Pelodiscus sinensis: one gene and its partner. The protein of the gene in region 1 purifies or fractionates together with the protein of each later gene. This does not show direct contact. Links are inferred from orthologs where the notes say so. Each region holds a gene or a part of one and is shown on either strand. Other genes may lie near its edges.

What was found.
Region 2: the proteins of CDK5RAP2 (region 1) and PCNT purify together in Homo sapiens (co-immunoprecipitation; 4 studies listed by BioGRID and IntAct, with this or other methods). This does not show direct contact. The link is inferred for Pelodiscus sinensis from reciprocal best matches to the Homo sapiens genes CDK5RAP2 and PCNT.

The regions. Positions count from the first base shown.
Region 1 is NC_134732.1:9,783,152-9,799,054, forward strand, and holds the start of CDK5RAP2 (CDK5 regulatory subunit-associated protein 2), read right to left. Parts: upstream 6,566-15,903; 5' UTR 6,240-6,565; coding exon 6,187-6,239; intron 5,532-6,186; coding exon 5,464-5,531; intron 1,370-5,463; coding exon 1,302-1,369; intron 1-1,301. UniProt on the Homo sapiens protein: Potential regulator of CDK5 activity via its interaction with CDK5R1. Negative regulator of centriole disengagement (licensing) which maintains centriole engagement and cohesion. Involved in regulation of mitotic spindle orientation.
Region 2 is NC_134717.1:65,469,257-65,485,125, forward strand, and holds the start of PCNT (pericentrin), read right to left. Parts: upstream 8,302-15,869; 5' UTR 8,127-8,301; coding exon 8,076-8,126; intron 7,798-8,075; exon of another isoform or gene 7,783-7,797; coding exon of another isoform or gene 7,738-7,782; intron 4,877-7,737; coding exon 4,670-4,876; intron 1-4,669. Other genes in the region: C7H21orf58 (uncharacterized protein C21orf58 homolog), read left to right, coding at 10,183-10,444. UniProt on the Homo sapiens protein: Integral component of the filamentous matrix of the centrosome involved in the initial establishment of organized microtubule arrays in both mitosis and meiosis. Plays a role, together with DISC1, in the microtubule network formation.

The DNA of each region.
Region 1 (15,903 bases):
TGTGGATTACAGTGGATGAGAAGCTGGATATGAGTCAACAGCGTGTCCTTGTAGCCAAGAAGGCTAATGGCATATTAGGTAACATTAAAAGGAGCATTGCCATTATATCCAGAGGTGTGATTATTCCTCTTTATTCGGCTCTGGTGAGGCCACATCTGGAGTATTTTGTCCAGTTCTGGACCCCCCACTATAGAAAGGATTGGAAAGGGTCCAGCGGAGGGTAACCAAAATGAGTAGGGAGCTGGAACGCATGACCTATGAGGAGAGGCTGAAGGATTTGGGCTCATTGAGTCTTCAGAAGATAAGAGTGAGGGGGGATTTGACAGCAGCCTTCAATTTCATGAAGGAAGGTTCCAAAGAGGATGGAGAGACGCTGTTCACAGTAGTGAGGGAGGGCAGAACAAGGAACAATGGTCTCAAGTTACAGTGGGAGAGGTCTATGTTGGATATTAGGAAAAACTATTTCACTAGGAGGGTGGTAAAGTTACTGGAATGGGTTCCCTAGGAAGGTGGTGGAATCTTCATCCCTAGATGTTTTTAAGTCTCGGCTTGACAAAGTCCTGGCTTGGTTGATTTAGTTGAGATTGGTCCTCCCTTGGGTAGGGGGCTGGACTTGACAACCTCCTGAGGTCTCTTCCAGCTCTATGATTCTATGATCCTCATAAGTAAAATTATGAGGTCAGAAAAATGCCATATATTGCGTTGTAAAGCTCAGGGACATTAAAATGAGTTTGTGAATGTGTAACTGCTGGAAGTTTCGGTGGTTACACATTTACACACCGGGGAGGTAGCGAGGGGGAGGAGTAGAGAGGCAGGCCAGCTCCTCATGCACTGCAGCCAGCACAGGGGGAAGGGGTTCCTGTGTGTAACTCTGTACGTTAACTGAGAAGCCTGGACTCACTGGTTAACTATGTATACAGGTACACATTCACATCCCTAGGGAAGAATTACACTAGAACTATTCTTTAAGAGGAGTTTGACCATGAAGCCATGTTGAGACTGCAACCAAGATGGGACATTTTCTAGCCCTAATAACAGGATCTGCTTCAATCTCAACAGTTACAGTTAAAAAATGGGTAGTAAACTGATGAGCAGATTCTCAGATGGTGTTCATCAGGGACTTCAATAGAGCTATGCTAACTGACACCATTTAAGGACTTAACTCAATCAAAATAAATGCATTTATGGGTCTCCAGGAAGTTATTGTACCTCTACCTTTTCAGTAGTCAATTCTGTAGCATACTCTATAGGATTTAGCAATTGATTTTTGTCACTAAATTTTACATGATAAATTTACTTACATTTTCATAATCCTTCATGGTCCGAGCTCTGGTTGGTGAAACTATATCTTCCGCCACATCCAGAAACACTAGACAACGGACAAGACAAATCAGATCCAAACCAGCATTCCCTCTAAGTTGCACAGTGGCAGCAGCTTCACAGATGATTAATCAGCCTCACACAATCGGTCAGCTCCTACAGGGAGCCCTGAGCCTGACTGGGCAGGGCTGACTAATCACCTGGGAAGCTGTGCTACAGCGCAGCTTAGGAGGAACCAAACATCCAAATATCAGAGGATCCAAAATTACAATGTTATTAGGGGAAAAAGGTTATTTTAACCATCTGAATGCATTAAAAGCATCAAACAAGTGTATTTTCATGTGCCCTTTTTAAATTATGGACTGAGTTATGACAAAAACAAGGCAGGTGCTCATAGCTGCGCAGCGCTGTGCCCCTCAAGATCAAGGCTTGCATCCATAGCAGAGGTAGCAAAGAAATATTAGCTACTTCTCTATGTATATGATTACAAATAATCAAAGTGTTTCTCTCTCGTGTTCATTCTACAATAGCCAAAATTTAATAAGGAACACAAATGTGGTATTAAGACAGCTATGAACATTCGCAAACTTTAAAAAGGGAAGGGCGGGGGGGAAGAGATTCTATACAGGAGGCTTAAAAATTGCAGATTATATACAAAATGTGACATCATATATCTACATATCCATATATGGAAAAGCTAGAATTGAAGGATTAAGGGAAAAAAGTTTGAAGTACCAAGTTCCCACTGTTTAAAGAAAGTTCCCACAATTAAAAGAAATTATTGAAGTAAATATTTCCAAAGTTATCAAGTAATTCCATACACACTACAGAGCCTTTCAATATTCCCAGGAATGCCAACCAGAAGTCTTCAAATGTTGAAGATTTGACTAACATGATGAGATACATAGAACATCTACAGTAACAGCATCACTGCCATACAGCAATGTAGGTTTATTTCTTATAATTGCTTGCTTTCATAAAAAAATATCTTCCAGTTAGCATATGTAAGTTGTTTTCATTATTGCACAGCAGAATTGTAGACCAGGGAAGGGCAAAAAGGCCTCCTGCAGGCCAGATGCGGCCCGCCAAGAGAGTTGATCTGACCGTGGAGTCCCTGCTACTATCTGCACCCCCAGGCCAATCAGGACCTGGAGGGACGGAGGGGAGGGAAGTGCGCAAAGTCTCCTCCCATCCTGCAAGGGGTGCGGCACTTCTAAGCACCGCATGCTCCTTGCAGGACAGGGGCAGAGCGGGAGGAGACTTTGCACACTCCCAGGCCAATCAGGGCTTGGGAGCAGGAGGAGCGTGTGACATCTCCTCCTGCCCTGCAAGGGGCTCAGAACTTAAAATCAACCGCCAGCTGACTCTGAGCATGGCGCTCCCTTGCAGGGCAGGAGAAGGGAGCAAGAGACTTCATGCAGAACACAGAACCATCCTGGCCTCGTCCCTTCTGGGGTGGCCTAAGGCAACTTCAAAAATTTCTGAAGTAGCACCCGGTCAAAAATTATTGCCACTCATGTTGTAGACTTAGCTTCAACTAAATACACAAAAGCATACTGGACAGAATAACATTCAAAATACAAGGCCAGGAAACTGGTTATCAGAACAGAGAAAATTGCTATAATTATGTATAAGTAGTTTTCATTTGATATTTCAAAATAAATGTTTCATGTTGTATTCTCTCCCAAACATGTAGTAAAATGAATATTCAGCTACTACTCCTACTCCAGAAAGTAAAACATGCTGAATTACTATCCCTGCTCAATACAGTTCAACAATATTTGACAGGAAAAGTCTGGTGAGAGACTTTCACGTGCTCTCTCTAAAATAAAGGACTAAACTACCATCATTGTTTCTGAAATTAGTACAAGAAGAACAGGACCAAAGTCTTGCAGGATCAGGATCTTAATGACAATAGAAACTTAATATGTTGGTATCTTGGCTTAATACAAATTGGCACTCTCTGGTACAGCAACATCCCTGGTCCAGCATCATTTTAGTTAGCTGGATGTCCACCTACCACAGATGTGGCCAAGTCTCCTGCAGTCCCATAAAGTTTGTTTTTCGCCATGAGTCCAGGCTTTCAGTGCTCTGTGCTGTTATTTAGCTCGATTTTACCCCTAAATGTCTTCTAAGAGCCCAGTAAGCAATGGAAGTGGTGGTAATGCTCCTAGACCCGGGGTGGTCTCTTTCATTTAAAAAAGATGTGGCTCCTGCTGCTTCTGAGCCACGCGCCCTGACTATTCAGGCCGGCAGCTCTGCGCATGGCGTCCCAGGGCTTGCTCACGGGCAGCCACTCAGCACACAGAGTCCCAGCGCCTGGAGGGAGAAGTGCGTGGCGGCGGATCCAGGACCTAGGCATTAGGTTAGAGCCGGGGGGGGGGGGGGGGGAGAAAGAGGTGCCTGGCTCTGGGTCAGGGGGATTGGGTTACAGTGGGGGGGGGGGGAGGTGCCTGGCTCTGGGGGAAAGGAGAGGGATTGGGTTAGAGCTGGGGGGGCGGTGCTTGGCTCTAGGAGAGGGGAGGAGGATTGGTTTAGAGCGGGGAGGGGGCTGGCTCTGGAGGAGAAGGAAGGCATTGGGTTAGAGCTGGGGGATGGGAATGCCTGGCTCTGGGGAGCATTGGGTTAGAGCAGGGGAGGGAAGGGGGAACTGGGAATGCCTGGCCCTGGGGAGGGAGGGGCATTGTGGGGGGGGGGGGGCACGAAGCACCTTAAGCTCAAAGTCTCCGTGGATGCAGAATAAGGCAGCCAACACAGATGTCCTATTTAAATTCTAGGGCAAAAAAAGAATCAGCATGTACCTGATTTACAATGTTTCTTTAAAGAATATTCAAAGGCTATTGTTTGCCAGGCTGAAGCAATTATTCTGAGATGTTTTTGAACCTCTCATATTTGCAGTCTGGGACAGGCACTTCAAATTGTGCTAAATTACTTCTCAGTGCAGTTTGATTTAAAAAAAAAAAATCACAGGACATAATACGGCAGTAGTGTTAAATTTCAAATACATAGTGGGAATGCTTTTTTGTGAGAGAGAATTTACTGTATTTTTAAAGGTTTTTTTTTATTTGATGTGTTTTCCTTGTCAAGTCCTCTGAAGATCTATGAATTTAAATTACTAGAGACTTTTGTATTGGTTTTTGTCTGAAATGTCTTGTAATGTTGTTTTTATTACTACATGTTGTGTACTATATCGATCTTTCTCTATATAAATATATAAAAATAAATATACAATACGTGGCTCTTTGTATTCTATTCACCGCTATTTTGGCTCTTTGTCTCTAAGTGGTTGGCCACCCCTGCCCTAGACAATACTCAACACCCATGGTTCGGCAAATTCTCTGCTTCGGAACAGGTCAAAGCTCTAGGATGCTGGACTAAAGCGGTTCAACCTGTACCACTAGCTTCAGTTTATACGGTTTGTTGGTTTTCTTAAAGGGACATTATACTTATAAAAATTATATGTTGCAAATAAAGAAGTTTATTTGCCTGTTACTAACATCTATTAAAAGTGAACTGTTAAGTGTGAAGGCTAGGATTATAACAGGGTTTAAAAGAGAACTAGATAAATTCATGGAGGTTAAGTCCATTAATGGCTATTAGCCGGGATGGGTAAGGAATGGTGTCCCTAGCCTCTGTTTGTCAGAGGGTGGAGATGGATGTCAAGAGAGAGATTGCTTGAGCATTACCTGTTCAGTTCACTCCCTCTGGAGCACCTGGCATTGGCCACTGTCAGCAGACAGGGTACTGGGCTGGATGGACCTTTGGTCTCACCCAGTAAGGCCATTCTTATGAACTGAACTTACTTTTCGCTATTTATGATCTTTATTAACTTTTGACACTTCTACCAGCTGGGTAATTTATTCAGTTTCACTATGTAGTTATTTTCACTTTCAGATTCCCAGTGCTGCAATATTTGCCTAGCAAATACTGTGGGTTAATCGTTTGAAACAATAAGTTTTTAACACAGGAACATTACAGAAATGTGTTTATTAGACTACAGTGCTGTAAGAACAAGTTTGGCTGTTCTCTAGACAAGCTCTTGCAAATAAGATGTTTATCTTCTAACTTTGCACTCTCCTGAAATGAACATTTCAAGCGTTCATTTGACCACTTCTTGTGTGCCATCACATTAGCTGCCCTTACCTCCATTACCTCCTACGCCAATACAAGGTTCTTCTCTGGAGACATCTGGCAGTCTGGAAATACTGACGCTAAGAGTGAGACACAGGAGGCATTTCAGTGATGGAAAGTTTAGAAGCCCCACAAAAAGTCCCTCCTTCCTGAGTACTTCCAGTGTCTCTCCCCAACACACAATACACGGCAAACACCAAAACGTGTTTTGTTAATCTATAAAGTGCTACCAGACCATTTGTTGTTTTTTAAATTTATCCTGTACAGACTAACTCCGCTAACCCCTGAAGCTACCGAAAGGGAGGGAAGGGATCCAGGTAACAGCTTCGCACCCCTTCCCCAATATTAGAAAAGATACTAAGAGCCAAACAGCCACATGGGAGGTGGGGGTATGAACCCCAAGCTGCAGTACTCCTGCCCCTGTGTGTGAGGCCCAAGCCACAGCCAAACTCTGGGGGCTTCAATCACCAGCAGACAGCTCCAGCAAGAGGTGACCAGACCCGAGTGTGTGGGGAGGGGGAATCCCGAGCGCCCCCGGTCTCGCCGGGGGGAAAGGGGTACTCGGATTTCCACACATGCACAGTCGGTCTGGCTTGGAGGAACGCGTGGGGGTGATGCCGAGCGCCACTCCGCTCCGCAGGCCAGACCCCAGTGGGGGGGGGATCTCAAACAGCCTCGCCCACGCCGGACGCCCTAACGGTCCCGGCTGCCTGCCCCGTCCCACCCCGCTCCTACCTGCCGCTAAACTCCACGGGCAGGGTGAGGTCCTCCCCCGGCAGCGAGTCCATGGCGGTGCGACCCCCGCAGGGACCCTCCGGCGGCGGTGGCGGCTCTGGTTGTTATTGTCCGAGTTTGGCGGCTTCGTTGGAATTCAAACGGCCGCAACCGCTTCCGCCATCTTGTATATCCGACTGTGAAGCCACTTAGGCCGCTCTGCAATGGTACGTGCTGAGGGCACGATAGAAAGCTAATGGGGCGCCGCCATCTTTGCTGAGGGCAAATGCTGCATACGCCAGCTTGACTAAGGGCAAACTTTTGCGGCAACCAAGGCCAGCAGCTTTCACCTCTAAGAACAAAGAAGGTAGCGAATGTGGGCAGTAGCCATCTTGAGTGAGGGCATGAAAACGGGCAGCGTGCGCAGCCGCCATATTTAATACAAGAGCGAAGGAGGGTGTGACCAGGCGCCATCTTTAGTCAGGGCAGTTGCGCTGCGAGGGATACTGGTTAGCATCCCGCAGTGTGACACACGCTCTGAGTCCTCTAGTCTCAGTATGATGCGGTCAGTTCCGGGGTGAGAGCAGCAGCCCACGAGTGCTTCTTCCCTGCTGCCTCCGTCAAGGGAGGGAACAGGGGCTGGTGCTGGGGAGAGCAGACTTAAACAACGGTTCCCCGCAGCACCCTGTCTGCAGTGCCTCCTGCCGCCCCACTGCTGCCTCTCAGAGCCAGCTGGGGAAAGGTAGGAGAGGCTGCTCTGGTAGCAGCCCCGGTCCGCGGGGTGGCTTGCCGCAGCCAGCCCTGGCCACTGTGAACAGGGGCTGCTGAACTCGGATCAAGCAGTCCCGGCTCGCACCGGTCTGGGAGCATTGCGACTCTGCAGTGTAAGTGGGGCGCTCAGCACATTTAAAATGCAGAGGTGCAGCAGTCCTAGAGCGAGCCTCCTCTTATCGACTAATCGTGTGGTCCAGCCAGGCTGGGCAGCGCATGCGCTGTACGCCCCAGGGGCAGGCCCCAGGTTGCGCGCCAGCGGCCATGACTGGCCTGCGCATGCGCCGAGCACCCCGGGGGCAGGCCCACGCTCCACAGGCCGGGCCTGCTATAGATACATACGTTTATCAGCTCTAAATGGACCAGTGTGGTGCAGACTAATCTCTCATATAACACATAGGACTTCCCTCAATTAGATCCTCTTTGGTTGTTTTTCTAAAAGATTTGCACTAATTTAATGTTGTTTTTAAAGAGCCTGTCAGGACAGTTCCCCATTCTGGCACTCTGAGTGCAGAAGGTGGGGGCCAGCGAAGACTTTAAATATACCTTGCCTCTGCAGGCTCTGGTTACAAAAACTCCCCCAGAGTCACAGATTCACTGAGTTTGGGAGGTAGCTCCCACCATCAAGTGACTTATCCCTAAAACCAGGGGGGAACACTTGAATTCTCCCACATGGGGCATCCCAAGCTCTTTCACCCCAAAAGAGCTTGAAAAAAGAAAAGAGAAAAACAAGCTGCAGTCTCTGGTAGCTGACCACCCAGTCTCAGGCAAGCAAATACACACACACAGCCCCTTGTTACTTTCCAGGACAAAAGAATCAAATCATCACCTTAAAAAAGTGATTTTTATTAGCACAACAAAGGCTAACGCACACTTGGTTGCTAGATGTTACAGTGCAACCAAGGAAAACAAAATGGAAAATCTCTGGGAACAATTCTTAGATGGTAAATGGGGAAGGGGAGGCATAGATTCAAACAGAGTAGTTCAAACCAAACCACAAAATAAAGAAAAATACCCTGATCATAACTAGATTCACTTTTTCTCATGATCTCTCTTGGTTCAGTCCACTTCCATGCCCCAAATTCCTTGGAGGCATGGTAGTCCTCCCTGGATTTAAATCATTCTGTGTCTCTCTAATCCTGGTTTAACTCTCCCACACAAAGAAAGCAGGCAAGTTATCGTATACAATTCAGATTTCATTACTGTATGCCCATTGGTTCTTCTCACTCCCTGCCAACACCCTTGCTAGCTACCTGAGTTTAACCCTTTAGTCACCGGGTGCTAGCCAGCACTCCTCTTATCCATCACAGAGCCAGTGATGGAGAATCCACCACACTCCCAGGTAAATTATTCCGGTCAATTACCTAGCAGACAATCCAGGTAAAACATGTTTTCAGGCACTGTATCATGATATACATTTGTCTGCTAGGTTGAAGAACATGTTATGAAAATTTTGTTCGCCATGTAAGTATTTATATAAACTGATCAAGCTAGGCCTTAGCTTTTTCTTTGTTAAACTCTGTAGATTAAGCTCCTTGAGCCTATCACTATAAGGTGGTTTCTAATCCTTTAATCATTCTTATGGTTCTTGTGTGATGGATAGACAGATACTTTGTGTAACATACTTAATAAGCAAGTATAAAGCACAGTGCTATAGTTCCAGCTAAAAGACTCTCTATATCCATACATGGGATGGTAGACTAACTATCAGTATGGCAAAAAATCATGTGACCGTGTATAGTTACGACAATCCCATGAAGGAATTATAGCAATAGTTTCAATGCTCTTTGTTACTTTCATAGCTACATGGATCCAAACAGCAAGAATCCTATCTTTCATAATAATTCAACCTGAAAATACTGTAAAATAACTTTTCTAAAATTGTTTTTCTTGCCCAGTAAAGAGATGAAAGATAGTCAGAAAATACTTCAGAAGAACTGGTGTTTTGCCAAAATGATTTACTTAACTATGCATTGCATCATGAGCCTGTGTTTTGTAGCAGTAGTAGTGTTCCCTTTTCTCATTGTGTGTATGTGATTTCTATTATTGCTACTTTCTTGTACCTCGATAGCTACCGGAATACAATTGAAAGGCAGAAGAGCCAATTTTCAATATGATCTGCTCCAGAAATGTGATGTATTTCTTCAACTGTATTATTTTATCTTTTAAAAAAAAAAAAAAATGAAAGTGATCATCCACATGGAATTCTGTATTTCAACATTATTTTTACATTTAATCATAGAAGCAGATTTATATTGGCTTATATAAGCTATTGTCTCAAAATTGTTTTTTTCTAACTATATTTAATATTTCCAATTTAGGAGGTGTCGCATCTCCCTGTGCAAATACAATCAATTTATTCCTTTGGTGAGCACAGCAGCATGCTGACTTTGCTTTAGAACAGCACATGCCGAGGGCCACAACTTAAGTGTGGTTGCATATACATGCAAATATATATGCAAATAGCTTATTTCACACAATGCCCTGGCACTCCTGGCACCTCCTCTCTGGGAGCTAGAAATGCCGACACTCTGAACCCACCTGTTGCAGCCAGCCCATCCACTTGCATCTTTCATTGCTCACCCACCTGGGAGATGCCTCGCCATTGAAGAGCGTATTCCCAGTGAAGGCCATGTTCAAAGGATCCCACCCGCGGGCCATGCATTGAGCCCCGCGTAAACCCAAACTGTACCACGGCCTACAAAGAAACGGGCCATAGGCCATGTGTTGAGTAGCCCTGCTTTAGAACATTAAACTGACGCACGTACACACAAATTGTACAATAACAGAAATGATCTCACATTCCCACAGTCAGTGATATGGTCCAGATCACCATAGTATGTGAGTGCCCCATAATCAATATAATTTTCCTCACAACACCTATGAGGTAGGGAGGTGCTATTATTAGAGATATTTAATGTTATATAGGAAGCCAAAGGCAGAATTGGGAACTGAGGCTGTGTCTAGACTACATGGCTCCATCGACAGAGCCATGTAAATTAGGGTTGTAGGCAAAGGGAAATGAAGCGGCAATTTAAATAATCGCCGCTTCATTTAAATTTAAATGGCTGCCACGCTGAACCGACAAACAGCTGATCAGCTGTTTGTCGGCTCAGCGCACTAGTCTGGATGCTCCGCGGTCGACATCAAAGCCCTTTGTCGACCACTCCGTTATTCCTTGTGGGATGAGGTTTACCGCGGCGGTAAATTTAAATCGCCACTTCATTTCCCTTTGCCCAATAAACAAATCTACATGGCTCCGTCGATGGAGCCATGTAGTGTAGACATACCCTGAATGTGTAAATCTCCCAAGTCCCTGACTACCATTCTAATTCCAAAACCATCCTTTCTCTCTACTTTGTCCTGTCTTTAAGCTAGCAGTTTTCAAACTATGGGTCAGGACTTCAAAGTGAGTCTGTTGCTGAGGTTCAAAGCCAAATTCTCATCAGTGGGGGCCAAAGACAAAGCTCAGTGGCTTCAGCCCTCGATGGCTTTGCCCTCTTCCCACCCCTGCCCAGGGCAATGTGCTTCAGCTTGGACTTTGACCTAGCCCACAGTGGTGGGGCTTGGGCAAGCTTAGACTCCCCGCTCCTTTAGGGTTGTGCAATAATTTTTGTTGTCACAAGGGGGTTGCAGTGCAATGAAGTTTGAGAATGCCTATTCTAAGCAACATATCCATTAGTAGTTTTTTATATTTTGTTACTGTAGCTGGAGATTTCCAACAAGTTCAAAGCTGTATTCCCTGTAATGGCATCTGATCTTGCAAACATATACATATATATGTTTTTAACTTCTCTCACATAAGTGTGCCACCTGAAGTCAGCAGAATTATTGACATATGTAACTTTAAGCACTCATGTAATTATTTGCATATTGGGAGCCATAAGAAAGGGGCCTAATCCTGAAGTCATTTACTGATATGAGTAAATTTACCCTGCTCACTTCAACAGGATTATCTGAATTAATAAATTTACGTAAGTAAGTGTTGGCAGGATCAGATCCTACAATTGCTCTTATACTCTACTGCTGCAGACAAAAGAAAGCATTTCAATAAAAAGATGTTAATGTAACCCTTTTGCCACGTAGTGTCAGCTGCAGCTATGGCTGGGTTAAATATCTGGGGTTCCCTCTCAGAGGGGTAGCCGTGTAAGTCTGAATCTGCAAAAGCGACGAGGAGTCCTGTGGCACCTTATAGACTAACTGGAGTGTAGGATGCATCTGACGAAGTGGGTCTTTGCCCACGAAAGCTTATGCTCCTACACTTCAGTTAGTCTATAAAGTGCCACAGGACTCCTCGTCGCCACAACACAGTACTGGCTCGAGCCCCCACTCAGTAACCTGGGAAATTCACACAAGAGCCCTGCTGCCTCTGGGAGGCAATGCTTCCTCACTCACAAGCAGTTTGAGTGTAGAAAAGACACCAGTACAGGACAAGGAAGAGAACTGGCAGCATGTAACTTCTCGAAGGAAAAAAAGGCCAGCACAAGAATCCCCCATTCCTACAGAGGTAAGTAAATGCTTTCATTGCTCTTCATGGGTTCTGCGATGGTGAATGCTTTGGAAGACCTCACAAGGAAGAAATCGGAAGGAAACCACTTCTACTGGAAGGCATGGGATGCATAGTCCTAGGAATGGGGGTTCCATGACCACCACACCCAAAAGAAGAAGGCGAGTGGTGGTGGTCGGGGACTCCCTCCTAAGAGGGACTGACCCATCAATCTGGAAGTTTTTGGAGAACGTTGGGGATAATTTCTTGGTACAAGTGCTGAAGGAGCCGACCAGAGGCCATATGCAGCTTAACCTTTGAAAGCCTCGGGGGAAGCCGGCGGCGGGGCATCCCAGGCGCGCATGGGCTGCCCGCCCGCCGGAGCCCCTCCGCGGCCTTGAAAGCCTCGGGGGAAGCCGGCGGGGGGGCATCCCAGGCGCGCATGGGCTGCCCGCCCGCCGGAGCCCCTCCGCCGGCTTCCCCCGAGGCTTTCAAAGCCGCGGAGGGGCTCCGGCGGGCGGGCAGCCCATGCGCGCCTGGGATGCCCCGCCGCCGGCTTCCCCCGAGGCTTTCAAAGCCGCGGAGGGGCTCCGGCGGCGGGGCATCCGGCGTACAAGACGACCCCCGATTTTTGGGGGATGTTTTTTAACTTCAGAGGTCGTCTTGTACGCCGGAATATACGGTACTTTCTTTTCTTCCTTTGGTCAGGATCCTGAAATCTACCATCTCATCGAATTAAGGGCTCCGCTATTTCGAATTAAATTTGAAATAGCAGTTTGCATGTATAGATGCTATTAAAGTTCATTCAAAATAACGGCTGTTATTTCAAATTAACTTTGCAGTGTAGACATACCCTGGGAGTGGAGGGCAGGGGAGGCAGAGGTGTGAGCAGCGCAGGGGGGACAGGGAAGGCTGCCCCTCACTTTCCCCAGCAGCCTCTGTCCACAGAGAGCTCGGATCCCCATGGACAGGGGATGCTGCCACCCCACAGTGCTGCCTCTATATCAGAGGCCACAGTGCAGGGCTGCAGGTAGCCAGTCTGCGAGGGGAGCTAGTTTTCAAATTGACTCCTCTTGTGGACTGGCTCCCGCCTGGCACCCTGTGCTGCTGTCTCTGATACAGAGGCAGCAGTGCAGGGTGGCAGGGGACTCCGTGGGTGTGGGGGAAGATTGCACTGGCTACTAGCCCTGCTCCTGGAGAAGTACAGAATAGCTGACTAACCTCTTCAGATTTCATGCAGTTAGTCGACTATTCTGTTATCCACTATCTAACATCCCTAGGATACAGTGCATGACAAAACTGAATGGGAAATGTTAGGCAATGACCAGCAGAGCTGAGGGCTTTATCTCTTAATTGGGTGCAACAGAAAATCTTTGGTGCTATACATTTGGGATCTGATCTTGTGAAGTACTGAGGGTTTTAAACTCCTGTTGCCTTTGACATGAGTTCAGTGTGCTCTTCTCCTTGTAGCCATGGGTCCTATGCTGTGATGTTTTCAATCACCACTAGTCTGTATTCAGTTTAAAAAACAAGTCTACCATATGGCAGCATGCCAAGCTCATTTGAAATTTCTTATTTAGCTTTAGGATGGGTGTTAGAGAGCTCTTCTCTAAGTGTGTGACAGTCTGGCTACTTAGCACAATAAATTAATTATTGAGTTTAAATGAGGAACTTTCTCTTTCTTATATGACATGGCATTAAATCAATGACAATAAGAAACAATCTTTAGGCAAAGCACCTTTTAAATGATATAGGCCTGTGCAGCATATATCCTGTCCAAAAGGGACTCCCATATGTTTGTGCAGACACATGCTGTGTAGCCATCCTCATGAACCACCACTGTTCAAATTAAATCTGCTGCCAAGCTTGAGGTGGTAAATGTACATTCAACTTGCAAAAGGATAACTCTTTCTGATCAAACAGAAAAGATAAAAACAATCAAATGGATCATTAACTGGAGTTATGTGCAATTTTCATGGGGTTACTGTAATGTCTATTTTACAAAATCTGCAGCAGCAGCATCAAATTTGCAAAGGAAAATTATGCAGCATTTTGAAGAAATTAACTTGCCTTCTGTTAATCAGATTAAGTGTTTAGTTTTATCTTAAATAAAAGCATGTTTTAGAAGATTACAGTAAATCCTCAGACCAACAAGTTGTATTGGAAAAGCCTGTCATACATCCTGCTGTGGCTGAGATCTTTGCCATTTCAGAAATGAAGTACAAAATGGAGGGAAACAATGGAGACCCCCATCTCTGCATATGTAATTATGTGGTTCCACAAGCTCATAAGGAAGCATACAAGAGGTGCACACCTTAATATAGCCCCAGGGTTTTCTATGAGTGGTAGAATAATTGTGCTCATGCTTAGCTTCTTTACCTGGGCTTTCCTCAGACGAACAGTATTTGCTGCAGTGTTCTCAACTGACTCCATAATGAACCTGATCCTCTCACTAATAGCCTGATCCTGCTCCCATTTAAGTCGAGCAAAATTCCCATTGACTTATAAGATTAAATTCTTTCACTAGTATTATCAGGAGTAAATGAAACCAATAGAAGTGCTGAGAAGAAGATACTCAATGCCTTAATTTTTAAAGCTCCAGTTCAGTAAAGTACCTGCACATTCTTAATTACCATTAATTTATCCCCATTACTTAAGTGCTTTGCTGATTTAGGGACAAAGAGAGTCATAAATAACATTCAGTTGCAATGACAGTCTTATTATTTGGTATTTACTTCTCCTTTGCAAGTGGGAGTTACCTTCCTAGCAATGACAAGTGAGAAAGAACTGTGAAGATTCCAGAAGCAAAGTTTTTTTTGGCTTTTGTTTGTTTGTTTTTGTTTTTCGGTTGTTGGTTTCTTTGTTTTTTGGCAGATATAACCAGCCTTTCTAAATCATCAGCTCCTCAGAAGCAGGTCTCAGAGATACCTGATCCACACAGAATTCCTTTGAAATTCCCAAAGAAGATGTAGAAAACACCCACGATACTATGGCTTTCTCTAATTTCACTTTTACTTGATTGCATACTTTTATGCCAAAATAACTATGTAGCAGTAAGAACACTTCTACTGTGAGTAGAGACTCATTGACTGACAAGCTAGTGAGCCGTAAAAGTAATATGTGTTAACAAGAATATAAATAAAAATAGACAAAAGTTTTCATAGGGCTTTAAAAACACTAATGTGACAGTGTGACTTGTGTTGGCCATATGTTGCTTTCTCTTATATAGAGTAGGTATAACTTCATTGACATTGTCCGGAATAGAGTTACTGGTATGAGGTCACTTTCAAACCCTTAGAGCTCAATCCAACTCTATTGAGGTCAATGGAAAATCTTGCCCATTGACTTCATATGGAACTTGGAAGCAACCTTTAGATTATTGTTTAAACATAAAACAAAAGCAAAATCCAGGTGGCTTAGATACAAATTATATACATTTTATTTATTTTAAATAACATTCTTATGTATAAATTCTGACGTATTCAAATCATACACAGCTTTTTTAGAAATGCATTTGGAGACATTTTATTTGGATGTGTTGTAAGACTGATAAGATTTTAATTGGGAGTGACTGTAATTTTAATGATTTAGGCCTATGTTTTCCCATTTGAATTGGAAACATTATTAAGCAGAGTCCCTTGGAAGCTAATTTTAGAACTTCACTTTAGGCTTCAATCTTAGGTTTTTATTTAGAAGAATTTGTACCTACTGTTTGCCACACACATTTATATATAAATAAAATAAAGCTTACACTACATTTAATATCTGGACTGAAGATACTGTATCTCAGAGGTCAACTGCCCCAGAATGCTAGTACAATGTTAAAGACTGTCCATCCTGCCTCAAATTATGTCTGATGGGCTATGTTTATTTTGCCTGGTTCGAGAGAGTGACTATTTCAATATATGACACTCCATGATAACACTCCCTGGCCTAAAACTTCATGTAGTTATTTATAGCTATGATGTTCCGTGAGATTTCAGACCTTACATTCACATTAGCCCCATTTTATTCTTGTATTTTTGTCTGTCACATCCAGTGGTCATAGAATAGCATCCTACCTTGTGATCCAACCAGGGAGCCCCAAGCCTATTATAAACTTGCTGTTTTTATACTTCACCCATGCCATTAGAGGAGTCTTTTTGTTCTCATGTACTTGACTATGGGATTTCTGTTCCCTCATCCAAATCAGCAGGGAAAATGGCTCTCCCTCCTCCATGAAATACACATAAGAAGATAATGGAGAAAGTACTTAAGGAATTCATCCGCAGACATCTGGAAGATAATAAGGTGATAGGTAACAGCCATCATTGATTTGTAAAGAGCAGATCACGTCAAACCAATCTGATAGCTTTTTTTGATAGGATAACAAGTCTTGTGGATAAGGGAGACACAGCGGCCATGGTATATCTATAAAATATTTGTTAAGGTCTCGCATGACCATCTTATCAACAAACTAGAAATACAGCCTAGATGGGGCT
Region 2 (15,869 bases), on another chromosome or scaffold:
GCTCAACAATCTTAATGTTGGTTTTAAATCCTGCAAAGAGTAAGTATAATCTATTTTAGTACTAAAAAGATCTTGCTTGTCAAAAGGCAGGTCTTGTATTGTAGTCTGGACCTTTCAAGCCAGACCCAACAAGGAGAGCCAAAATCTTTGAGATAGATATGGTAATTTCCTGAACAAGCCTTACTGAATTATGATTATGTACTGGTGTGGCCCATAGATTATATTATTCCATGGGGAAGGGAGACCACAGCCTTTCAGGAACGAACAACAGTGGACAACGGTTAGGCAAATTCACTCAGATTGTCACATTTCCCAAGAGGTATAACTAGAGAGGTTTGGATATACGGTTTCAAAATGGATTCTCTAGAGAACTGACAAAGAAAGGACTTTTGGATAAAAAGACTAAGTTTAAACTACTGCAGCGCTTGCTTTTTATCTTCTAAAAAACAGACAGTACCTTTTCTGTTCAAGGAAAGCCCTAATAGTTCCTGGAAAGGTTGGAAGAACATGGCCTATTCACGAATATGCTTTTTCTGAGCTAACAACTCTTACAAACTTCTGACAAGAAGAATTAGCCCTGGTTGGGTTTGAAGAACTGATCATCTGCAACAGAACTGTTTGGAATTAGTGTGATCTCAGGTAAACTTCATAGCATGTAAGTTCTTTTTAATACATATTTTTCTGTAGTGTTTTCACCTTAAGAATGTACTTGCTTAGAGCTATGAAATAATGTCTAACTGTGGAAAAGCACATTCTTAAGGTGAAAACACTACAAAAAATATATATTAAGAAGAACTTACATGTTAAGTTTACCTGAGATCACGCTAATTCCAACCAGCGCTTGCTTAGAGCCATGAAGTAACTTATAACTGTGGAAAATCACACTATTTATAGCAGCTGAAGAGGAAAGAAAAGCAAATCTGCTTCAGCATTTTAGTTGGCTGGGAATTCACAGTTGAAGCAGGGAATTATTTAGCTTGGAAAAAAAAACTAGTCAAGCAGATCTCTACCCAAAAAGAGGTGACAGCCAAGGAGAATTGAGCCTAGTGTGGGTGCCTTCACTGTACTACCAAAGAGGAAGACAAGTGCAGTTGTCATGACCCAAGACAATCTTCTCATGACAATTCCAGTTGCCATTGACCATGCCCCCGCATCTGCGGCAGTCTAATGCTGATTGTGGAGATAAGGGATGTAAAGTCTTGTTTAATCAGTTAACCAGTTAAACATTATATTTAACTGATTAACCATGGGCACAGTCTAGCTGGCCCAGAGGGGCTGAAGCACCCCTCCCATCCACAGTTAGAGTACCTCATCCCCCGCACTATGGCCTGGCTGGGCTGGTACTGCTTACTAGTTAACTATTGACATCTCTAGTGGAGATGTTTTTCCAATCAACATTCCTTCAGAGCAAATGGAAGTCAATTATTTTTCCTATAGAATTAAAAGATGATCCTAAAATTTTGCCAATTTGTCCCCTTGGATGTAATCATACTTAGATTTTCAATTTATCAAACCATGTTGACTGACCTGAAGGGAAGTAGAGGTGTAAATCTTTGTCCCAGAGAGATCCAGGATTTTCTTGGTGTTCTCTCTTCTGAGCTCAGGCAGATCTCAAAGCCTGCCTAGATTTTTCATTTACCACAGTGACTACCAGTAGCAATAGAGCCAGAGAAATACAAATATTCTCAAACTAGCCAATAGCCCGTCATAAGATGGGATTTTTGGGTCTCTCCTCCACATCCTATTCCCTTTCTATCTTGGTCTTCTCTCCTGAGACTCTGGTCTCTCCCTCCGTCCGTCTCTCTCTTTTTCCTCCTCCTACTGCCTCCCTGTCTCTCTCTCTCTCTCTCTCTCAGCCCTCTTGCGCCTCCTGCCTCTCTCTCTCTCTGACTCTTTCTCTTCTCCCCCTCCTCCTGCCTCTCACGCTCTCTCTGCTCTCCTCCGCCTCCTCTCTGTCTCCATCAGGGATGCACACTGGTCCAGGCCCCGCCCCCTGGCCGTGTACATCACTGCCCTGCCCTCCTTCACCTCCCGCCGTGGCGCTCAGCTGACTTCTATTCCCTTTCTATCCCGGTCCTCTCTCCTGAGCCTCCGGTCTCTTGCTCCGTCTCTCTCTCTCCCCTCCTCCTCCTCCTGCCTCCCCTCTCTCTCAGCTCTCCTCCGCCTCCTCTCTGTCTCCTCCATTCTCCTCTCTTCTCTGTCTCCTCTGCCCTCCCCTCTGCCTCCATCGGGGATGCACGCTCATCCAGGCCCCGCCCCTGGCCGTGTACGTCACTGCATAGCTCCCCTTCACCTCCCACCGTGGCGCTCAGCTGACTTCTGCGCCACTCAGCCGGGCTGCAGCGCGGGAGCAAGCAGCACACATGCTGCATGGGGACCACGGAGCCTAAACGGCCATTTGCACCACTTGCTCCTGCACGTCGGCCCGGCTGAGCGGCGCAGAAGTCAGCTGAGCTCTACAGCAGGAGGCAAAGGATGTTACAGAGCCAACAGAAAATGTTACACCGTTATAGAGTGTCACACATTGGGCTACTATATATATATATGATACCAAGTCTCTCATAAGATATTTCCAATCAGCCCACTTGGATTGCCCTCAGTTTGTTAACTGGCTCAAGAATACTCCATTAGTATAAGCCTACCCTATTTCAGGTAGAAGGCTATCAAAAAGTTTATGACCTCTGCTGCAATATTTCCAGGGGAATTTCTAAGTTTTCTGCCATCTTCTCTAACAGTTCTTGAAAAGCCAATAAGTTATCTACTGCCCTAGAAACAAAATACCACACTGTTTTCAGAAGATGAAAATTGTCTAGCTAATAAAGATTCATCCTGAAACTGCTCCTCCTCTTCTTAAGAAAGAGGTTTCTGTGTACTCAGTACCATAGACTTTGGGGAAGAGAAGGCAAAGGAAAATCCTGAAGTGGAAAGGAAAAATTGTTGAATTGGAATATAACACCCATATGGATATTAACCATGTTAAGACACAGCATCCCAAGGTACTGACATCACACATGTAATACAGTCTCATGAACTGAACTAACACTGTATCCCAAGAAGAAAAGTTCTCATGAGACTTAAGCAGATATTAGGGAAGGCTCCAAGCAAGATTCAGCTAATGAAGATGACAATGTACTCTAATAGAGAGTACTCAGGAAGTGGAACAATCAATAGCAGCAGGCCATAATTAGATTTTCATAAAGGAAGCCTGGGCTCCTGTTGCATTTAAAATTTTAGGGAAACTAAGATAGAAAAAGCAGCAAAGAAAAGATTTATGCTCTGGTATAATCATGTTCTCCAAGACTGTTAAAAGGATGACCCAGGTATTGCCTTGAGAACTGAGTGAGACTCTGATGTCTAATGTTGATTCCTTGGGATATCAGATACCAATACCAAGCATTTTGAAGGGGAGAGGAGTAACAACTGTGTGTCATCCAAAGTAAAGCAAGTGCAAAAGAAGCTCTCTGGACTGGAAAACAATTCAACAGCCAGCATCACTGAATGTAGCCTCTATGTCACCAAAGCACTTTGGTGCTTGCTTCTCAGGCTTCTTATGAAATACCAGAGACTCGGTTCAGTACCAATAGAATGTCTCTTGCTCAGAGGCAAGAGGGATCTCTGACTATTCCACAGCGATCTTCTTCTGATGTGCAAGCTCCTGTCAGATTTGAGAAGCCTCTTGGCCTCTTGATGGCTGTGAGGGATTTCTCTTTCCTTCAGAACATTCCGGGGATGGCTGGAGCAGCAAGGGGCCATATTAGAAACTCAAAGTTACAAGCTGCTCTCTGATTTCTCCAGGAGGAGAACTTTGAGCCCAGACTCTAAATGTCTGTGTGTTTTTTAATATCATACAAATATTACATTTAGAAGTCACATGGCTCTCTGTAACAATATAAGCACACATGTCCATTTTCCAGCACAATCACTCTTCCACACAATGGACAAGCTATGATGCCCAGTGAGTATCTGAAACACAATAGTACAGCTACTTACTACCTACAAAACTACTTTTCTCGTAAACCAATGTGCAACAAAACAAAGACTAAAATCTAAGTGACTATTATCAAACTATCTACATAAGATGTAGGGACATTAAGAACTTTCAGTTCTCTGTCAAAGTAAACAGCAGGAACTGGCTGGTGGCAGGGATTGGTCTGCCTTTTATGGTCTTCAGTGAAGGAAGTGCAAGAGCATGCAGGGTCCAGGTCCTTGTGGTCACTGCTAGAGAAAAGCCTCACAGCTTCTGTATAGAGGGCACAGACACATCATGCATGGCAACCACATTGGCCTTGTCTTCACTTACTGGAGGATCTACACTCTGATGACTGATTTTCTGGGGTTCGATTTAGTGTGTCTAGTAAAGACCTGCTAAATTAAATGTTGAGGGTACCCATGGATAGCAGTACTCCTGTCAAGAGAGGCACTCCTAGCTGTCATGAGGAGTAAAGGAAGTCGACAGGAGCGTTTCTCCAGTCAACCTCCTGCTGTGGGGCTGCCTCAGAAAATGGTTACAAGGAACATTGACTTCAGCTACACAATTCACATAGCTGGAGATGTGTATCTTGCATTAATTTTCTCCCTCATCGTAGACTTGGCCATATATGGGAGCTCAGAGAACAATCTGTTAGTTGCAGAAAGATTTAGATTAAACATGGTGAATAGGAAGACTTACCTTAGTCTCAAATTGTGTCTTTGTCTCTTCAGTCTTATTCTTCAGACTTATATCAAGGTCTGTAAGAACATCAGAATCCTGGGCCATTATCATGCACTCTTCCTTTACAGCATCATGTGGGTGGTCAGACGCACCCTTCCTCTTCGCCGCCTTTTTCTGCGACTGCGTGTTGTCACTTTTTGTTTTTCGCTGTCTGAAGTGAGCAAACTGTGAATAAAAGATTGAAAGAGATAAATGGAGAGATAAGCAAGGAAAAGGTAACAACACCACAAGATTAATGCACTCATGAATGATAAACAAATTTTTAATTTGACAAAACATGCACGTCCACAGAGAACCTGCTTTATTCTTCCTACTTAGAAACTGAATGTGCAGTATCTAAGCAGCAGTACAATTAGACAAAAACACAAGAGTCAACTTTTTACTAATATTTTCCTGATATTTGGCAGGTTATAACAACAATCCAGAATTAAAACCATATAAATTATTAAGAGACTGAGTGTTGTCCATATACACGAACAAATTAAAATGAGACAGCCTTGAAGTCTCTCAGAGTTCTATAGAAATATAATCTTAAAATTTCTTAGCGCAGCAAATATAAAGACTAGAATTGACAAAGGTGAGCGTCTTCTTGCCTTTCACCTTCCAACAAGAGAATATATAGCAAAACTTCCCTGCCTGAAAGCAGACTGAGATACATAAATAGAAATTTAATTAAGCTAGGTCATTTTAATTTCTTCTGTTGAAGAATCAGATGTTCTACTTTAACAAACTAACACAGTCCTATGAAGCCCTAGGGACTTGCAAATAATGTCACCCATAGACATCTACTACCCATATCTCCTCAGTACTTTAAACAGCTCAAAGATGATTAGAGTATTTTACACTCTAGCACTGTGTATAAGCAGCAATTGCAACCAATATCTCACTCACAGCGTAAGACCAGACATTCTTCCAATAGGAAAAATCAAGGTTACCAAATCTACAAGTAAAATATCATAGTATGTAGAACTACTGCATGCAATCTATATGAAAAATTAACACCTGTAATAGTTTGGTTTTGCTGCAGTAAAGCAATATAGAAAGAAGCAAGACTGCCCTTTGAATTCCACTGGTTTTATGAAGCTTATTTACCTTTATAATTTTCTGAAATGAATTAATTCCTTACATTTGCATATCTACAGCAACTTGTGTTATGAGAGTTTGCACAGCTGCTGTCAGCTAGTCATGTATCGGTTCTATACTAGACAATGCATTAATAAGAGTGTAATCGGGTAACTGATTAATGGATAAGCTGACACTTATCAGTTACCAGTACCGGTTACACTGTTTATAAAAGCTGCTGGGAGTCCCCGCAGCCCCAAGAGTAGTGGCAGCCCCAGGAACCCTGACAGCCACAGTAGGCACACAGGGCCGGGAGCTCCGGCAGTGGAAGTTAACCATATAACAGTTATATCAGTTACATGGTTAATAAATTTTTAACATCTCCAGTTTAAGATACTTAAGACTATGCCCCTTTGCTAAAGCAGAAAGGTCAAGCACCTCACCACTTCAGAAGTGTTTATGCAGACCACTTGATATGTTAAGATTGGGGAGAATTTTTTTTAAAGTGAAATCTTAAGGTTTCTAGCCCCTATATTTCTTAGTTAAAAGGGAAGGTCAACAAATGCCTCGTCTTCCTGATTTGGCACAAAATACAGCCCTAAAACTAAATGCAATTGAGATGCAAACACCATTGTTCACAATTAAATTGTAACACAAAATCCTAATGATTTTGCACTGAATGCCTACAATAGTTTCAGCATTGTTGATTAATCCAGTAGCTGAAGTGTGGGAGAGAGAAGCCCAGAATTGTTTAGGTCTGAGAGACTAATGATAACTATCATTTTTCATCAGTGATGTAAACAAGTCATTAAATATAAACTTTGTCAAAATTCCTTATTCTGAAAGAGCTCTGTGTAACCTGAAAGCTAGTCCTTTCATCACCAGAAGCTTGTCCAATAAAAGATATAACCTCCTCCACCATATCTCTCTGACTCTGAAATACAAAAAACTGTAAAATCAGAATTTTCTGATTTATTCTGACTGGCTAAAGAGCTACAGACTCGGATACCAAATCACACTGCATCAATTTTAGTAATTTAAGACTAGTTTCAGGCTATGCTGTAGATGGCCTGCCAACCAACACCTAGTTTCCCAGTCTACTGTCCTATGTGCTGGACCACATTGGCTTCTGTTACTATTTCAACATATATTTCTATTTGGAGGCAAAAAAAAAAAAAAAATAGTCCACAAAAATAAAAGAAACCTTCAACAGAAATGTTACAGTGACTGCTCATATGAACACTTACGAATATGATCAGGTTCAATGTAAAGCATATTTGATTTTTTTTCCAAATAGTGCCATTTATTTGTTAGGATTAGTACCTAACAAAGGTGCTCAAGACTGAACAAGACATAGAAAACCGTAACTGCACTGAAAAGCTAACATTCTTGGGCCCTGGTACTGTACATTTCTACACATGTGGGAGGATCCATTCAACTAAACCCTGTACATATGAGTAAACACTTATTGTCTTTCCACTACATATAATTATCACTTGAACCTCTCAAGTATCAATCTACTTCCAAGTATATTAAGTCTGTATTAAAAAAGAATCATCCTTATGTTGACCCAGATATGCCTCTCAAGTTTATCAGTTATTTAAGCAGCGGAAAATGTAACTCTTATTGTGGGGTCATACCACTATCAGGAACTATGATCTCCCATCCTTGAGCACTCTCCAAAGCCACCAAATTAAGACCTTTACTTCTCTGCCTACACAACTTCTGTCTTACACTGGAACCTTTTAAACCCTGCCTTTTTAAGTGAATCAAACGAACGTATAGCTGATGTCAGGAAACATCCCTCTCAGCCCCGAGCGTAACTTTTTACACTGATGTCCAAAGTAGAATGTTTCCCACTATTCCTGAATCAGGCATGACGTGCAGGCAGCCAAACGTTTCAGATACCCCCGACAGCAATTCAGGAGGAGAACCCCCCCCCCCCTGACTTTTATTAACATTACCCATTTCTGTAGCTGCACTGCACTCAGCACAAGATTTGCACACATCCACCTTCCACTGATCTGTACACGGAGAATGCAACTCCCTGGGCACCCACCTCCCGCTACGCACGGGGAAGCGCAAGCCAAGCCGGGGCCGGGGCCAAGGGGTGCGCCGCCTGCCCAGCAGCCCCGGCACGGGCCAGCTCTCGGCAGGGGCGGGACGGCGGCTGCCCGCGGCTCAGGGCCGCAGCCTGGCCTGGGGTGCGCGCGGCTCTGCGCGCTCGGGACCCAGCTGCGGCGGCCAAGCGTGTCCCTGGGGGCGCAGGCGCCGGGCCCCAGCGCCCGAGCCCCGTCATTACCCTCGCGCGCCCGGCCTCCAGCTTCCTGCGCCGCTCCTCCTCCTTGTCCATGGCTGGAGGGGCCGCGGCTCCCGGTGCGGGGCGGGGGAGGCGCCTCACGCCCGCCGCCGGGCTCGCAGTGGCGCCAGGCCCACGCCGGGGAGGGGACTCGGCCGGGCCGGCCCAGCAGAGCTGTGAGCGCGGGGCGGGCTCCGCGCTGCAGACACGGCGCGGGCCGGAGGGGTCCCTGAGGGGACGGGGGAGGTCTTTGGGGGGCGGGGCGCTGGGGGGCGGTCACGTGCTGGACTCTCTCCGTGCCCATTCGCACTAACGGCCTGTTAGGAATGACAGGCGGGCTGGCAGAGCCAATGAAACAGCGGCAGCCGCCGCGGCTCTACGGCCGCTTGAGTGGCCCCTTCAAAAGGATGCGAGACAGAGCCCGCCCCCAAAGCTAACTTGGCCAATCACGAGTGGGAGGCCTTAACCCCGGGAAGCCCGAGCTGGCCATTCAGGAGCCGTCAGGCGCCCCGTGGGGGCGGGGCGGAGAGCGCGTGTGGGCTGCGTGAGGCCGCCAGGGCTGGGCGGGAAAGCGCGGAGCTAACGGAATCCCGCGGGGCTCTTAGCGCTGCGGGTTCCCCTCCGGCCCCGCCCCCACTGGGCGGGGTTCTTAGCTCTGTGGCTCCGCCCTGTGGGGCCCCGAGCTGCATGGCCCCCCCGCAGGGACCCCGAGGCCTAGGGACACCCCACGGGCACTTCCCGGGGCCGTGTGCGACACGCTCCGTCCGCCCGCGCGCCCGAGGCGGGAGCCTGCTGTGCCCTGCCTGGGAGCCCCGCCCTCTCCCTGAGGGCCAGCAGCCCGGCGCCTGGGCTCGCGCTGCCCTGGTGCCTCAGGGCCCCTCGGTTTGAGATCCCTCAGCTCCCTAGCCGGGGGGGGGCACTAGCCAGGGGAGCCGTTCCCTAGCCCGGGGGGGGGCACTAGCCAGGGGAGCCGTTCCCTAGCCCGGGGGGGGGGCACTAGCCAGGGGAGCCGTTCCCTAGCCCGGGGGGGGGGGCACTAGCGAGGGGAGCCGTTCCCTAGCCCAGGGGGGGGCACTAGCGAGGGGAGCCGTTCCCTAGCCCGGGGGGGGGGCACTAGCGAGGGGAGCCGTTCCCTAGCCCGGGGGGGGGGGCACTAGCCAGGGGAGCCGTTCCCTAGCCCGGGGGGGGGCACTAGCCAGGGGAGCCGTTCCCTAGCCCGGGGGGGGGGGCACTAGCCAGGGGAGCCGTTCCCTAGCCCGGGGGGGGGCACTAGCCAGGGGAGCCGTTCCCTAGCCCGGGGGGGGGGCACTAGCCAGGGGAGCCGTTCCCTAGCCCGGAGGGGGGGGCACTAGCCAGGGGAGCCGTTCCCTAGCCCGGAGGGGGGGGCACTAGCCAGGGGAGCCGTTCCCTAGCCCGGAGGGGGGGGGCACTAGCCAGGGGAGCCGTTCCCTAGCCCGGAGGGGGGGGCACTAGCCAGGGGAGCCGTTCCCTAGCCCGGAGGGGGGGGCACTAGCCAGGGGAGCCGTTCCCTAGCCCGGAGGGGGGGGCACTAGCCAGGGGAGCCGTTCCCTAGCCCGGGGGGGGGGGCACTAGCCAGGGGAGCCGTTCCCTAGCCCGGGGGGGGGGGCACTAGCCAGGGGAGCCGTTCCCTAGCCCGGGGGGGGGCACTAGCCAGGGGAGCCGTTCCCTAGCCCGGGGGGGGGCACTAGCCAGGGGAGCCGTTCCCTAGCCCGGGGGGGGGGCACTAGCCAGGGGAGCCGTTCCCTAGCCCGGGGGGGGGGCACTAGCCAGGGGAGCCGTTCCCTAGCCGGGGGGGGGAGGCCGGTTGCTAACGAGGGGAGTCGTTCCCTAGCCCGGGGGGGAGGCCGGTCGCTAACGAGGGGAGCCGTTCCCTGGCCCGGGAGGGGCCGGGGGGCCAGTCGCTAGCGAGGGGAGCCGTTCCCTAGCCAAGGGGAGGCCGGTCACTAGCGAGGGGAGCCGTTCCCTAGCCAAGGGGGGGCTTGGCTGGAAGGCAGCCGCTCTCTATGGATGTTTCCTCTGCTGGGGCAGGGCTTCTAGGGAGGACTGCTGGACACTGAAGTTGTATTACAGTTTAAATTGTAAAACAAGGATGGGTAGGATGCGGCCCTGGGCCAGATCTGGCCTCCAGGCCTCTCCACTCAGACCCTTAGGCACAGGGCAGCTCCATACCGCTTTACACAGCCGGCTGCTCCCTCTGGCTCTGCTCTGGGTAACAGGGGGCAGGGAAATGCTTTGGGCGCTGCCCTACTCCCAGCACAATTTTTCAGCTCTTATTGGGAAGTTCCTGGGGCTGCGGCAGGCAGGGAGTCTGCCTAGAGATCTTGCAGGCCTTCTGTCCAAGAGCTCCTTAGGTAAGTTCCTCCAGGCCAGAGCCTGCCACTGGTACCTCAGCCGCTCCTGCCCCCCAGTGTTCCAAGCCACTGCCTCTTCCCAGACACGGCACCCCAATCCTCTACCCCAGACCACAATTCACTCCTTCACCCAGTGTCCCTTGGACCCCAGATGTTCTCCTGCACCCCAAACTCCTACCCCAAGCTCCCTTTTTTTGCACCCACCCTCACCTTACAGACACCTCACCTCCTCCATAAGAATGCTGCCCTCAACCACTTAACACAATCTTGGCATGTTCCCCCATCAAAATTATTGCCCACCCATGATCTAAAGCAGGGGTCTCCAAACTACGGCCCGTGGGCCGGATGCGGCCCGCGAGGCCCTCTCATCCGGCCCGTGGAGACCTTTTTGTCTGGCCCCGCCTTCTTCCACGTGCCGGTGTGACGAGGCGACCCCCGCCCGTCCCTGGGGCGCCGCCGAACGGGCCCTTCTTGCCGCGGGGGGGGGACCCTGTCAGGGGTGTGCGGCGTGTACTCAGGCCGCGCCGGGGCAGGAGAAGCAGGCCGCTCCGCTGACAAGCGGCCGCGCGGCGGCAAACGGCGCAGGGGGCGGGGGTTAGCACGGGCAGCGTTCCCCCGCCCAGACTGACAGGGCAGCCGGCCAATCAGGGGGCAGGATGGGCGGTGGTGGTAATGCCCGCCCGGCGACGTGCGGGGGAACGTGAACCCCGGCGGGAACTTTAAAAAGGTGACCCCTTCCGCCCGGGGGGGGGGAAGGAGTGAGCGGTGGCAAGCAGGAGGGGAGGACAGCGTGCAGAGGAAGGGGAGAGCAGGGGGAAAAGCCCCCCCCCCCCTTCCGGGAGAAACGGATTCGCAGGCGAATATTCTGAAGAGGAAACATTAAAAGCAACAATCTCTCTACCATAAGTGGATATATTTGCACACTATATTCAGGTAAGTTTAACTTAAGAAATCATAAGAATTTTTAAAAATTGTTTCGGGTAAAGTTCAAAATAGGACTGGTGGGTTTTTACCAGTTTTTGCCCAAGGAAGACTTTCCTAATGTCAAAACTTTTGCATCAAGGTACCTTTCAATCTTTGGAACTACATACCTGTGTGAACAAACATTTTCAAGAATGAAATATGTGAAGAACAATTTGAGAACAAACTTGTCCAATGATAATCTCAGGTCACTGTTGATGTTAGGGACAACAAATCTAAAGCCAGAAATGTCTGCTATTTTGGCATCCAGGAAACAATTTCACCATTCACACTAATACAGGTGTTCATGTGTAGTGTATCAATGTGTTATTAAATAATAACTGAATAAAATAATATTAAATAAATAATTAAAAACAACATCCATGTTTTGATTGTTTTTTATTTGGACCTCAAGTGTGTAGTCGACCCCCGAACTGCTGTTTGATAGTTAATGCGGCCCTCGGGCTGAAAAGTTTGGAGACCCCTGATCTAAAGCAAATAAAATGTTGCTTCCCAGCTCATTATTTCCCATTTGTCTCTCAAAACACACAGATGGTTGAGGAGCACTGCTGTGCATAACGCACAGATCTGGTAACTGTAAGTTATGTTCTTCTCCCAGCTTTTCCAGTCCCCTGCAATGTGGCCTTGGACAAGTTACTTTTCTCTCTGCCTCTCTTACTATTTGTTTAAAATATTTAGATCCCACTTCTGCCAAGGTTTATGCAAGTGTATAATTTTTAAAATGTGAAAATTTCCCTTGACTTATATGGGTTATTTACAGGGCAGAAAATGAAGTGCATGCATAAATCTCTGCATAATCTGGGCATTTGGCTGTACTCTCTTTGTGGCAGGGATTGTCTCTCATGGGTTTGTACAGCACCAGACACAGTGGGGCTCTGACTTCAGTTGGGACCTTAAGGCACTATTCTAATCTGAATAGTAAATAATAAATTGACATAACTCATCCCATTTTTAAAAAAATCAGATGATAAAGACATATACAAACTTCAGTTATCACTGATTTTGATCTCATAATTTAATGGCCAAATTAGCTTGGGAGAAAATGTACATTTTGATTAAATGAAACAGCAAGTGTATCATAGTGGTATATTTTTGTTAGTGCTGCTATTACTAGTGTGGCTTCTCTTTTATTTGGCTTCTTCATGAAGTGTTATTCCTCTACTGTGTGTTCTTCAGGAAACAAAGGGCTTGTTGCTAAGAGCACATTAATGTGGGAGATCAGTAAAAACAAAAAACAGGACTGTGTAGCACTTTAAAGACTAACAAGATGGTTTAATAGGTGATGAGCTTTCATGGGCCAGACCCACTTCCTCAGATCAAATAGTGGAAGAAAATTGTCACAACCATATATACCAAAGGATACAATAAAAAAAGCAAACACACATGAAAAGGACAAATCAAATTTCAGAACAGAAGGGGAATGGGGGGGAAGGGAGGGAGGTAAATGTCTGTGAGCTAATGATATTAGAGGTGATAATTGGGGAATCTATCTTTGTAATGGGTAAGATAATTAGCGTCTTTATTCCAGTTTGCTTGTAGAGTGTCGAATTTAAGCATGAATGACAGTTCAGAGGATTCTCTTTGAAGTGCAGTCTTAAAAGGTCTTTGAAGCAGGATGCAGGTAATCAAGTCGTTGAGACAATGTCCTTTCTGGTTGAAGTGGCAAGAAACTGTTTTTTCTTTGTGATCCTGTCTGATATCTGTTTTGTGGGCATTGATCCTTTGGCGAAGTGTCTGACATCTCTTGTACAAAGACTGAGATAGTGATATGGATAGCATTATGATCCAGATTTGGCAAAGCTCTTCGGTACATGGGTAGTCTAACTGAAGTCAGTGGGAACCATCATATGAGTAAAGACACAGTGGTTGGTATTGTGCCAAGTAGAACAGCAGAAGTAGGGATGGGAATAAAGGGGCACTCTCTACATACTTGTGTTTAGTGTCACCCATTACCTTGGGGTGGGTGGGTGTTAGCCCAATAATTCCATAATCTGTGCTTTCTTTCCTAGATGTTGTTTGACTTAGAGCTGAACAAACTGCATATTGCTAGTGTATTGGACGGACAGGGAAACTACTGTATTCACATTTCAGAGAGAGAGCACCACGTTAGTCTGTTTAATCAAAAACAAGGAATCCTGTGGCACTTTATAGCCTAACAAGTTAATTAGAGCATAATATCTCCTGGTCTGCCGCTCACTTCTGTCAGATGCATATGTACACATAGGGCCAAATTCTGCTTGGTTGCACCTTTGTGATTTTCCTGGCGTAAGGGATCTCCTGGATCAATCTGAACAAATTTTATGCCATTATTTCCAGGCTAGAATATATTTAATCAGTGACCCTCAAATGAATCAAGAGAGTATATTGCAGCTTCTGTTTTTTACCCCTCATAAAAGCTTGGTATGAAGTATGTATTTATTTTTCTATTCTCTTTTGTGACTGTTGACATGTGAACACTTCAACATAACACTAATGTGTTTGAGAGTCCAAGCAACCACCTAAACAACTACAGGCAGTCCCTGGGTTACGTACAAGATAGGGACTGTAGGTTTGTTCTTAAGTTGAATTTGTATGTAAGTCGGAACTGGTACATATTGTAGGGGAAACTCTAGCCAAACATTTCTCCAGAGCTCAGTTTTATTCTCCCACACCTCACTTCCCTCACTCCTTTATTCTCGAGCTGAGGTGTCTGCTGAGAAAAGCCGCTTCGCGTCTCCCTGGTCTGCTGGGGGGGGGGTGCTAGCTTCGCGTCTCCCTGGTCTGCTGGGGGGAAGCAGCTAGTGCGGGGTTGCCTCACCCCATTTGTAAGTAGGGATCCGATGTAAGTCGGATCCATGTAACCCAGGGACTGTCTGTACTCCATATGACAAACCACTGGAACAATATCCTTCGCTGTAATTAATGCATTTGCTGTAAAGAAAACACAAAAGATAAATTAATTTAAACTAGCAGGTTTCATGTGGGTTGGTTTTTATTTTGTTTGGGTTTTTGGCAGTGAGATTTAGTGCCTGGGAGGGAGTCACTTGGTTGATCAGACCTGGCTTTTGGGTTCACAACACATCCGCTTTTGGTCTGTTTTGTTCAACCTTATATATTTTGTTTTTGGTATTTTTTTTTTTTTTTACTTGCTTGACTATGCTGACATTAGTTTTTTGTTGTTTTATTCTGCCCTTTCAAAATTTTTGTTTGCTTCATTTGGGGTTATTAGCACTTTGTTGCATATTGCAGTCTGTGTTACTTGACTTCCCTAAAAACAGGATTATTGTTGGTCATCCAATCAAATTTTGGGGTTTTTTTAGCTTACGTCTCCTGTATCTCAATAATGCTGCCTTGCTTTTACACTTTAAACTAAATTGGTGCTCATTTAACATATTCTGGGTAGGCCCCAACCCATTCCCTTCACAGTTTTATGGTAGTTAATGCAAAATCTAGCTCTTTTGGTAGTGCTGAGAATGTTATCATGGTACTTTTGTAACTTTTCTGTGACTGGATGCAAAGATTCACATGAAAATCAGCATACAGTGAAGGTAATCTAGTCTGGATAGGGTGCGGGATTTGTATGTGAGAATACCGCTACACCCAGCCAACAGTACAGGCAGTCCCTGACTTATGTCGGATCTGCACTTACGAACGGGGCTTTTCTCGCCCCAGAGCTCATGGGCGGCGGGTCACCACCCATGTCCTCCGGGGCGAGAAAAGCTTCTCCCGGTCTCCCTGGTCTGCTGGGGGAGTCCAGCAAAGCCACTGGACCCCCCCCCCCCAGCAGACCAGGGACACCCGAGCAAAGCCGCCCAGGTGGCGGGAGTCCCGCTGCCTGGGCGGCTTTGCTCGTTTGCCCCAGAGCAAAGCCGCCCAGGCAGCGGGACTCCCACCACCTGGGCGGCTTTGCTCCTGTCCCCCTGGTCTGCTGGGGGGGTCCAGCAAAGCCACTGGACCCCCCCAGCAGACCAGGGACACCCGAGCAAAGCTGGGCTACACAGAACTGGCATCCAGATTCAGCCGCGGTTGAAACTGATCAGTTTCAGCAGCGGCTGACACCAGTTCCGACTTACATACAGATTCAACTTAAGAACAAACCTACAGTCCCTATCTTGTACGTAACCCGGGGACTGCCTGTACATTAATACATAGTCCCTCCATCCAACAAATACCCTCAGTTTGCAAGCAACTATAGGTTTTAATGGTAGAAGACATTGCAAGCAACTATAGGTTTTAATGGTAGAAGACATCCTCAACTCGATAGCCCTGTTTGTCCGAATCCTAACTGTAATATGGCAATACCAGGGACAAGAGGCAGCCCTAGAGCATAACAGCAATACTTTTTACTCCCGGGGTGGACAGGAAAACTACATGTGTGGCTTCAGAATATAATAGTCTGATATAGGGATATAAGTGACTAATCGACTATCTGATAAGCAAATGCTTATCGGATAGTCGAGTACCA